Neodiprion lecontei: one gene and its partner. The protein of the gene in region 1 interacts with the protein of each later gene in a pairwise test. Links are inferred from orthologs where the notes say so. Each region holds a gene or a part of one and is shown on either strand. Other genes may lie near its edges. The genes, in order: protein suppressor of forked and cleavage stimulation factor subunit 2.

Region 1 (5,216 bases):
TATGAAGTTATTTGACCAAAGGGTGGCTGAGTATTCGAAAGCTGCTGATAAAAATTCTCAATCAAAGAAAGGCTTTGGTAAAAAGAAAACCCTGGGTAAGAGATCTTATATTAAATTTGACCAAAACTTGACACCATGATGAATGAAATGCAATGTTCGGATTTGTTTTTGTTCCAGGTGACCGATTCAAAGACTTAACTAACTTTAACTAGCAGCAAAAACAAAACAAATTGAGATAGAAGAAGATTTTCCAAAAAGTCGCTTACCCATCGAGACTGTGTGCTTAACGCTGTATATTATTCCAGAATATCTAATTACCAGAAATATTACAAGTAAAATTACTTCATTTCTTTTTTTTATCTCGTGTCTTAAAGTGGCATCTTGTAGCTTTAATTAGTTTAAGCGTTGGGCTATATTTGTACAGACTGTTCTCATTCTATAGTAGCCATTATTAGTGCCTTCCGTAAGTAGTGATATGTATGATAGCAGTGATATAAGATGATATGATAAAATGTAAGTAGTAGGTAATCAAATGCATAGTGGAAAATCAAAGGCAATTTAAGATATAGTATAGAATACAAATGATGTATACAAACTTATAGCCAAAGTATATTTTCATAGACGGAATGAGCATAACAAAGGTTAGTTTGACCAGTGTTGAAAAAACTTTGTTCCCTTTAATTAATTACTATTATCATACTCAAGTGGCACAATGTTTTTTACCTGATAAATTACGCTAATTGTAAGTGATGTTAATTTTATTATTATTATAATCAGTTTTTTTTTTTTTGTTATTGCCATTACTTACTCATACTGTGATTATTTATTTCATACTATTCTATCCACATGTCCTTCTTTGTATACATTCTATAAAAGAAAAACTGATTTGCTATATGAAAATAAAATGTTGATATCATAATGTCTTCTTGTTTATCTTAGCGATTCGATGGAACATATATACACTGAACAACGGTTGGAAGATCGGGCTCTGAACATTTACAGATAAATCTTGTAAAATTACCGTCACATATGCTAAACTGGAAAAAACAGTCTTCTGGATCAAATTTAGGCGCGCTTGCTGCTACTATTTGTCGTTGACTGAAGACTCTTCAGTCAACGTATTTGTCAAAGCTGGGGTGGCGCTATTTATCGGTCGTATTTCCGCGCGGCGCAAGACAGTGTGATTCGCATCATACAGAGGCCTCTAGTCTAGTCGAGGTTACGTAAAACTTAACTTGCCGTCGCTGCAACGCTTTTCGGCCTCTGTCAAGTAACATAAATCCAATATATTTTGAGAATATATAACGTACTCCGCATGCGATGGACGAAGAAGACGATCACAAGCCGCTGATGTTATTCGGGAGAGACGTTACAAGGATTCCATGCTTCAGAAATAGTTTCCTATCCGGAATAACCTGCAGTATTGTCGGCGGCTTAGGTACGTTCATGTTTACCAGCAAACCGAAACTCGCCTCGCACATCGGCATGGCCACCTTCGTCGGCTCGACATGGAGTTACTGGGTTTATTGCCGGTATACGTGGTCCAAACAACAGATCGAGGTGGCTAGACTGCAGGAGCTCATCGAACAGCACGCTACCTACGCAGGGACGCCGAAGGAGAAGGAAATTGACAGATTGCCTCTGGTGGATGCGTGAAAGTTTTGACAATGTAGAACAATGAATAGTTGATTATTTATAGTCATCATTATCGTTATTTTTTTATAGGTTATACAGTGTGATAATAGCATGTTAACAGAGAACGAAACATCGTTGTTTTCACCTCCACATTTCTTTAATTAAAACGTATTTTAAACTGAGGAAAATACCCAATACACGATCTATCACTTACACCCCAGAATAATTGAATTTCAAACTTTCCTGTTCTTGTGACGATTTATAATATTCTTCTTGGCTTGGTGATTATTATTCAAGTCTATGGTCTATTTTTCAAAGATAATTGAGACCGTATGTCCGGTATTTTCGGCTCAGGCTATGAACGGTACAGGTAAAGAGAAATGAGAAATCACGTGAATGGGAATGGTGCTCGTCAGAGTCATAAGCATGGTCATAAGCAATAAGGGTCATAATTTGATTGGCGCTTAGCAATCAGGGTTCAATGTGATTGGCGCTTTGTGGAACTTTTGCTGCAGCAATGCCATCTTAATTTACGTCTACTGCACGGACACTTTGTACAGAGAGAACCTCTTTGTATATCCCTCGTATACATGGTATATGCTTTGGTACAGGCTGCCTGTTTTATCGGCAAGTCACGAGCAGATTCAGAATAACCGGAAGAGGTCGCGCTTCTGTGTGGTTTCGAAGGGTCGAGTTGCATCGTACTTGTATCGAATCAAGTAGTGGATAAATAGTTGAATAGTGCGTAGTGGGTACCGACGCGGGGTTTGGATAATCTTAGGAAATAACAATTTATTTCCTACGTTATTTTTCAGAGATATACGTGTAGGATACCAGGCCACTGATCCTAAGAATCATGTCTGGAGAAAAAACTGAATTTGTACGTATGAATTATTGTACCGGCAAACTGCTGATTTTTGTCTGCAACATAACCTAATCCCAAACCTAACCTTACCTCGCCTAATTTCACTTCTTAGATCGGAATGCCCGACTTATTTATCGAGTTGACGGATTACCGAAAAACTGTAGCTTTTTCCTATTCTTTTTTGTTTCTGTTGCTGATATTAGTCTTTATTGAACTAGAATACGATTCTAGTTTATTCTTTAAACTGTGTTTCTTCCCACATTACAGTTTAGAAATTCTCATTTCGTATGACAAAAACTTCAACAAAAACATGTAAGACAAGTTTAAATGATTGCAGGATTGGGGAAACGAAAAACTACAACGGGCTCAGAAAACTGTCGAAGAATCGCCGTACGACTTAGAAGCATGGAGTATATTGATTAGGGAGGCTCAAAACAGACCGATCACCGAAGTGAGATCCGTATTTGAAAAACTTGTCAACGTGTTCCCATCAGCTGGTCGTTACTGGAAAATATACATTGAGCAAGAGGTAATCGTAGCTGTCATTTACACCTGTCAAAATATAGGCAGTAAAATTGTGCACGACGTAACGTTGAATTATGGCAAACCCTTATTCATCCTCATAGCTGATAGTCATCGTATGTATTAATGGATTTGTTTTCACATAAAATACAGCGTTTATAGGCTAGTAGTAGTTCGTTGTCAAATAATATTTACGACTTGTCATTGTATAATTGTATGATATGTACTTGGTTTCAGATGAAAATGCGCAACTTTGAGAAGGTGGAAAAGGTATGTTCACAATATTTGTCTGGATTACCAACTTGATTCTGAATAATTTGTGTTGTGGTAGTTTCATGTTGGTTTTCACTTGTTATATAATATATACATGTATGTACATGTTGTTCAGTTAAAAAGTTTAAAAATGTCTACAGAAATATTCATAACCAAAAATTCGGGTGAAGTATGAATTTTTTTCATTTCACTATTACTGAGAAGGTATGCTAAATTGTTAGGTTCTGTATTGAATACAATATCTAAATTTTCCTCGCTTCGACAATATTATGATTAACAATGATGTGTTTGTGATTGGGCAAATAAAATATTTTCAAATATCGGAGTTTTATTTATATATCAACCAGTGAACAAAATCTTAAATACACAGGGTTTTCATAAAGGTTTCTCGGTATATATTTTTAGCAAAGTAAACCAGAGTTCAATAAACCAGTTGCTACAATAAATTGATTCAGGTGGTTTTTCTTGCATAGTTAATAATATATCAAAGTAATTATAAATTCACATTATTATGAAAAACGGTATCATTTATTTTAGGTTCAAAAGAAGTTGTTAAACCGTTATCACTCTTTAAATATAAACCTTCGGAAAGTAATAAATATTGAAAGAATATCCGTCTAATTTCACGTAGCAAATTTGATTTTGAGTATTCAGAACTTTTTCGAGTATCCTGTTACAATTGTAAACAATTATTTTCATCTTTGGTGTCACAGGGAAAGCTTGATATCTTGCTCCACCTCCATTTATGATCTGGACCGCGTTATCGCATTTATGGGAATTCTTTGGCAGCGTGAATCTGATTTGCAATAACAATTGGTACATAGTATTTATATTGGCTGAAATAAATAAAGGCCATGCTTATGCGTTGAACAGATCTAAGATTTCGCCACCTTCGAACATCCAAACGAATCTGTGTCTTCGAGGTATTTCACAATTTACCATTTCTGATAATATTCAATCTTCAATGCTTCGTGTGCAGCAAGATGTCGAGTTTTTACCGTATGTTTTCTTTCCTGGGTTAAAGTGATAACAAAATATCAACATTGAGTAAATTTGAGGCACATATGCAGCTCGACTGGTTTATCACAGGTTTCCATGTACTTAGTTTCTCAGGGTTAAATGGTCATTTTAATCCTGTGACGGAGCACATTCTATGCATGCCTGAATGCCTGTTGCTGTCTGCCGAGTGTGATGAGTTATATTATGATTGGTGAGAGATAGGTGTATGTGAAGCGAATAATTAAATACTTATAAAGTCGTAATTATTGAATATCAATGCCGGGACATATGTAGTCATGCATTTAACTGAACAACCCTTTGCATAGGAATACAGATGATTTGCTGTCAGTATAAATGGTATTTTAATCCGTCATAACAAGATACTATCATTTTATGTGATGCTGAGCACTTTACATGATACATGTGAGGTGAATAAAAAAAAATTTATTTCACCACAAACAAGCAATAACTTATTTCATTGATAAATTACTGCTGTGTTCAAACAATCGGGAGGTCAGTTTTGTCGGTAAACTCAAAGTTTTGCATGCCCCAGTTTTAGATTAATTGACGCGAATCCCAAGTATTAGAAAAAATTTTACATGTATCGACAAAGGTGACTTTCTGAATGTAACAGCCTTATATTCCTTCCTGCTACATATTCTTGGGTCTCGATTAGGTCACAGGTTGAAATTATCAACTGTACTTCTGGTAGAATAAAGTCAAAAGGTAAAAATGAAAATTTAGCTTGTACTCTAATCTTCCAAAATTCATAGATCACTGCAATTCTTTTGTTGTGTAACTGCCTCGTACAATATTCACCCTATTTTGACTTATTTCAAGTAAATAATTATTTTCGTAAACTGATATGTTGTAGTTTCAGCGCAATAAATGAATAAGCTTTGAATACAGTGAAACTTTGAAG
Region 2 (5,319 bases), on another chromosome or scaffold:
ATAAGGATCCTTTGAATCGAATTTGAGAATGAACATTCTCGCTTCAAAAACTGCTTGAAATTTTTCCGTTGAAATGTGGCAGATTTCAAATAATGTTGCATCTTTCATGCACCATTTGGACGCAACCTTGCGAGAGAACATAATTGCACATAGTTCCGGTAAGCTGCGACCAATGGTTTCCAAGTTTCAGCAGATCAGTGCAACAATCGGAGGTTGAGATCGGATTGATTAATAAGAGATTTCGTGACCAAAAAAACCAGTTTTTGGTTTATTTTGAAAAAAATTCGTAGTAGATTGAATCCATAGACAGGAGTCAACGTCATACGCTGTTCAACTAAACCTAGAAATCATCGGCCTTCTGCGCACATAAGGCCGGTTCTACCAACCTTTTTTTAACCACTATTTTAATTCGTTTTGAAATTTCAAGACGTTATTTGCCAGAAAATCTGTGCTTCTCGTCAAGTGGTGTATACAGAGTTTTCGTATTCACAAAATCATCATGATATTTACAAAAAATCGCACGTCAGTTAATCAAATTTTTATTTTCACACCCTCTGCTTAGACAAGTCAGGTAATATAATGAAACATATTGAATCTTAAACAATCTAGACCTAGTACACCCAACATAATGTTCAGTGACATACTTAAATATTAAAATTGATGAGTTTTTTTCGTGTAAAATACAATTATTATCATTCCGTGAGAAGATGTTCTCAACGTTGAGTGCTTTTCGCTATTTGTTCTTTGAGCACTAGGATACTCTGCCTTTGTTCCGGAGGAAGCATAGCAATCTGCTCATCTGATAATTGTAACACTTGCATGATCAATGCCGCCTGTAACATAGAATGAAAACAATTTCAAGAAATGTTATATACATGTAAAGACACAAAAAGTTGTAATATGTTTATATTCTTCACGTCTTAGATGAAGTTAGGTCAACAGTCTAATCTTTTGGTGAGTGCAGGGAAGGCTTACATAGCAGGAGCCTTTCATAAAATCACATACTATGACATTGTAAATTTGAACATTGGAAAGTCTTTAGTACCTTTTCCTGGTCAGAAGCACCACTTGGAATGTTACCAGCAGGCGACATCCCCGCCATTAACCTTGAGGTAGCAGTACTGGGTGTTGAGAGACTCAGTGGATTAGTAGGGTTAATACCACTTGTTGTAGGGGGTGGCACCGGTGTTGCCACAATGGGTCTGGGTGCGACAGACGTGACCCCAGGAGCCGGTGCTGTAACATCACAAACAAGAATTGATCTGGAAAAATTCATAATCTCGTTAAAGGAACACGAAACTAAATCGTAATCAGAGTTAAATTTATCTCATGAAATGTGGCGAGGGTAAGTCAACAGCATAGCATAATGCATTGCCGCAATAGCGAACGATACTGTACAAGCGAATCTTAAAATCTTCTTTAAGAATGAAATAAATTATACATCTCTATGCGTTCGATTTTTAATCATAATCCACAAACTATATGAAAAAACTCTTCAGAATGAAATTATATGAATGAGGAGAATGTATCTCTTCATCTAATCGTGATCGTTTCAAATTTTACAGTAGATATGCATAACCAGGAACCATCTTCAAATTCTCATGCAACTTTCGACAGTTACTTAGAAAATCACTTTTTCACAAAAGTTACTGCTAGCACTGAGTTCTGATAAGTTAATAGTGGAAATTAAAACTCTGATTTGATGCTTACGATTAATTTTGGGAATTCGAGGATCAACTGGCATCCTAGGGTCACGTGGGTCTCGTGGTTCTCGTCCGAATCTGTCAGCTCTCGGATCACGACCGAAACTAGAACGAATATTGAAGTTACCGAACAATGATAAGTTATTGGGCTACATTCACGACAAGTATAATAGTAACACCTCTCTATACCCTCCGCTGGAAGAGTGCTGTAAAAGAACGCAAATTATTGATTATTTAATATCCCATTGGAAACAGAACCCAATTTATAATTATACTAACGGTTCTGGAAGAGCAAAGCTCTGTGATACAGCTCTGGGATCTGATGGAGGAGCTATAACTGGAGCGCTGACAGGAACAGGAGGGACTTGGGGTGGCCCTCGTAAGTCTTGATCCATTCTAGCCAGCCTTGGATCAATTTGTCTATCTAAAGTACGCAGATCCACATCCTGCCCTATAAATTTAATGAATAATTAGAAATCATATAATTGAATTTTCAACCTAAAAGTCAATACTCGATGGGTAAATTACAGAAAAAAATTAAGTTCCACTAAAATTGGGTCACGACGAATGACTTTCTGAGAATAAATATTTGAAATGAGTATCAGGAAATCTGGCTATATTCACCTGCAAAAATTGGAGCAGGTGGATTAACTGGTGTGGGTGCAGGTCTAGGAGTCCAGGGTTCTTCGATTCTTGGAACAATAGGATGCAGCGGTGGCTTATCATTTGGTAAAATAACACCAGGAATCGGGTTGGCTTTATGTAGCATATTGACTGCAGTTTGAGGGTCGACAATTCTCATCACAACTTGGGCCTGAAGCAAGGCATAAGCAAGCTGCGGGTTCTGTAGTAGCATTTGTCGTGCTTCGTTTGGATTATTTTGCACGCATAGCTTCATCTGCTTCATCAATTCAAACATCTGTTCAGGAGGTAACGATGCAACTGCTTTGCTTATAGCCTCTGGTGCCTTGTCTGCTTGAACTGCCTCGCCATAAGGATTTTCAGTGTTCTGTCCCTGAAGCAGGCTTTGCATTTCCATCCGACTTTTTTCTGTGCAAGCATTGTCCACTCTCAGTGTCCTTCCACCTATTTCATAGCCATTCAGGTTACGCATTGCGCTAAGCGCTGTCTCTTGATCCTTATACTCGCAAAATCCATATCCTTTCGGCTTTCCAGTTTCTCTGTCAAAAACCAGCCTGAGAAAAAGATACGAAAAGATATACACAAGTTTCAAAATAAATCAATAATAAGTATTTTTCACTATGGAAATAATGAGATGCTAATAAAGTGTTAGATAAATTTAAACTTTTTAATGGATTTTTCCTGCCAATTCCTGTAAAGTAATTGAATTTTTTTTTTTGTTTCACAATAAAAGACTGTTTGAGGTTAGGGTAAAGAACGTTACGGAGCATACTTACTTGAATGAGAGAACTGGTCCAACTTCGCTGAATATGTCCTTTAAATTCTCCTCTGTTGCTTCATACGGAATATTTCCGACTGAAAATTAATTGCAATCGTATTTTTGGGCGACTGAATTATCCGGTTAACAATTCATTGCGTTATAATTCAAAAAAAAGTTAATTCATAATTACCAAAAACACTCCGCATTGATTTATCCATCAGGGATTGATCTGAAATAGTTGAATTACTCATTTTTGCTGTTTTTATTTACGAATTTACAGATTTTGTTTATTGCTCGAATTCGAACGATACATTAACGTTTGTCACCCGAAGGACAGAAGACAGGTGTTTTCATTCGAACGTGATCAACATCAATCAACATGCAACAAGAACACCGTGGGTTATTCAAAACTAAATTGATAATAAACTTGATAATAATATTTCCACGGAACGAAGTCATTGACTAGATATTTAGATAGATACTGATGATTGTCTTCCTAGCGGAATTTTCTGCAACTACTGAAACGCTCGTCTACGTTGTTCCGCACTTAATGCCGCGATATCAAGTGCCTGCCATTCTATTACCGACTGCTATTTAGGGTTAGGATGGTATTAAACTTTTGACCGAAGTAAACATTGTGACAGCAAGTAAATAAATAGTTGTTCGCTCGTAAAAATGTCAATCGAAATTGAATCCGCTGAGTACGTATCTACTCTGTACATAATTAATTATTAGTCCCGATCAAACTACAATATCTTCTTATTTCAGTGTTATACGACTGATTCAACAGTACTTGAAGGAGTCTAATCTTGTAAAAACACTACAAACCTTGCAGGTAATATTAAATTTATTCATAATCCTACGAGGAAATACTCCTTGTTAATTGATCAAACTGTTAATTTAATCCTCTAAATACTTAACCAGGAGGAAACTGGTGTCTCGTTGAATACAGTTGACAGCGTTGACGGATTTGTTACGGATATTAACAATGGACATTGGGATACTGTGCTTAAAGCGACACAGTCCCTCAAATTGCCTGATAAAAAACTCATTGATTTGTACGAACAGGTATTTAACAACTTTCATTGTTTACATATGTTTTCAAAGACGCAGAAAGTCAGGTGAACTGTCAAACTTATAACAGAAATCCGATATCACAAATGTTTATTCACAGGTTGTTTTAGAACTAATTGAACTAAGAGAATTGGGCGCAGCTAGATCTCTGCTGAGGCAAACTGACCCGATGATAATGATGAAGCAGCAGGAACCTGAAAGATACATCCATCTTGGTAAAACAGAATAACTAATACAACTTTCATAACTAGTTTCTTAACTGACAAGCTACAGATGTTTATTTAATTTTCAATTGAATAATTTTTCTCACCTTCCACTTTTCTCCAGAAAATCTTTTGGCACGGTCCTACTTTGACCCAAGGGAAGCATACCCTGATGGAAGTACAAAGGAAAAGCGAAGAGCTCATATAGCAACTGCTTTGGCGGGTGAAGTATCAGTCGTACCATCCAGCAGGCTGCTAGCTTTGCTCGGACAAGCTTTGAAATGGCAGCAGCACCAAGGGCTCTTGCCTCCTGGCACAACCATAGATTTGTTCAGAGGCAAAGCAGCTGTTCGAGATCAGGAAGATGAAAAATACCCAACTCAGTTATCTAAGCAAATTAAGTTTGGGCAAAAGTCACATGTTGAGTGTGCGAGATTTTCACCAGATGGACAATATTTGGTAACAGGCTCCGTCGACGGGTTTATAGAGGTGTGGAACTTTACTACTGGAAAAATACGAAAAGACTTGAAGTACCAGGCACAGGATAACTTCATGATGATGGAACAAGCCGTTTTATCAATGTCATTTAGCCGCGATAGCGAAATGCTTGCCGGTGGTGGCCAAGACGGGAAAATGAAAGTTTGGCGTGTTCAAAGTGGCCAATGCCTCCGCAGATTCGAAAAAGCACATGCCAAAGGTGTCACTTGTCTTCAGTTCAGTAGAGACAACAGTCAGATACTATCCGCATCATTCGACACCACTATAAGGTACGTCATTTTGTAAAAATAGAAATGATAAACTTTGGCAGAATTTCTTTCGCACAACCATTACATTTATTTTCACGTTTGACAATTTTTTGTTGCAGGATACACGGGTTAAAGTCTGGAAAGACATTGAAAGAATTCCGAGGCCATATCTCATTTGTCAATGAAGTAGT

What was found.
Region 2: the proteins of protein suppressor of forked (region 1) and cleavage stimulation factor subunit 2 interact in a two-hybrid assay, tested with the Drosophila melanogaster proteins (2 studies listed by BioGRID). The link is inferred for Neodiprion lecontei from reciprocal best matches to the Drosophila melanogaster genes su(f) and CstF64.

Annotation. Positions count from the first base shown.
Region 1 is NC_060263.1:28,266,763-28,271,978, reverse strand, and holds the start of protein suppressor of forked, read left to right. Parts: upstream 1-2,173; 5' UTR 2,174-2,491; coding exon 2,492-2,515; intron 2,516-2,837; coding exon 2,838-3,029; intron 3,030-3,259; coding exon 3,260-3,292; intron 3,293-5,216. Other genes in the region: uncharacterized protein LOC107222830, read left to right, coding at 1-95, 178-212; cytochrome c oxidase assembly protein COX20, mitochondrial, read left to right, coding at 1,321-1,656. UniProt on the Drosophila melanogaster protein: Essential protein, may play a role in mRNA production or stability.
Region 2 is NC_060260.1:6,245,674-6,250,992, reverse strand, and holds cleavage stimulation factor subunit 2, read right to left. Parts: upstream 3,496-5,319; 5' UTR 3,357-3,495; coding exon 3,296-3,356; intron 3,201-3,295; coding exon 3,122-3,200; intron 2,900-3,121; coding exon 2,328-2,899; intron 2,155-2,327; coding exon 1,983-2,154; intron 1,910-1,982; coding exon 1,883-1,909; intron 1,809-1,882; coding exon 1,711-1,808; intron 1,263-1,710; exon of another isoform or gene 1,237-1,262; coding exon 1,046-1,236; intron 834-1,045; coding exon 714-833; 3' UTR 524-713; downstream 1-523. Other genes in the region: WD40 repeat-containing protein SMU1, read left to right, coding at 3,781-3,806, 3,874-3,940, 4,030-4,173, 4,280-4,394, 4,507-5,149, 5,248-5,319.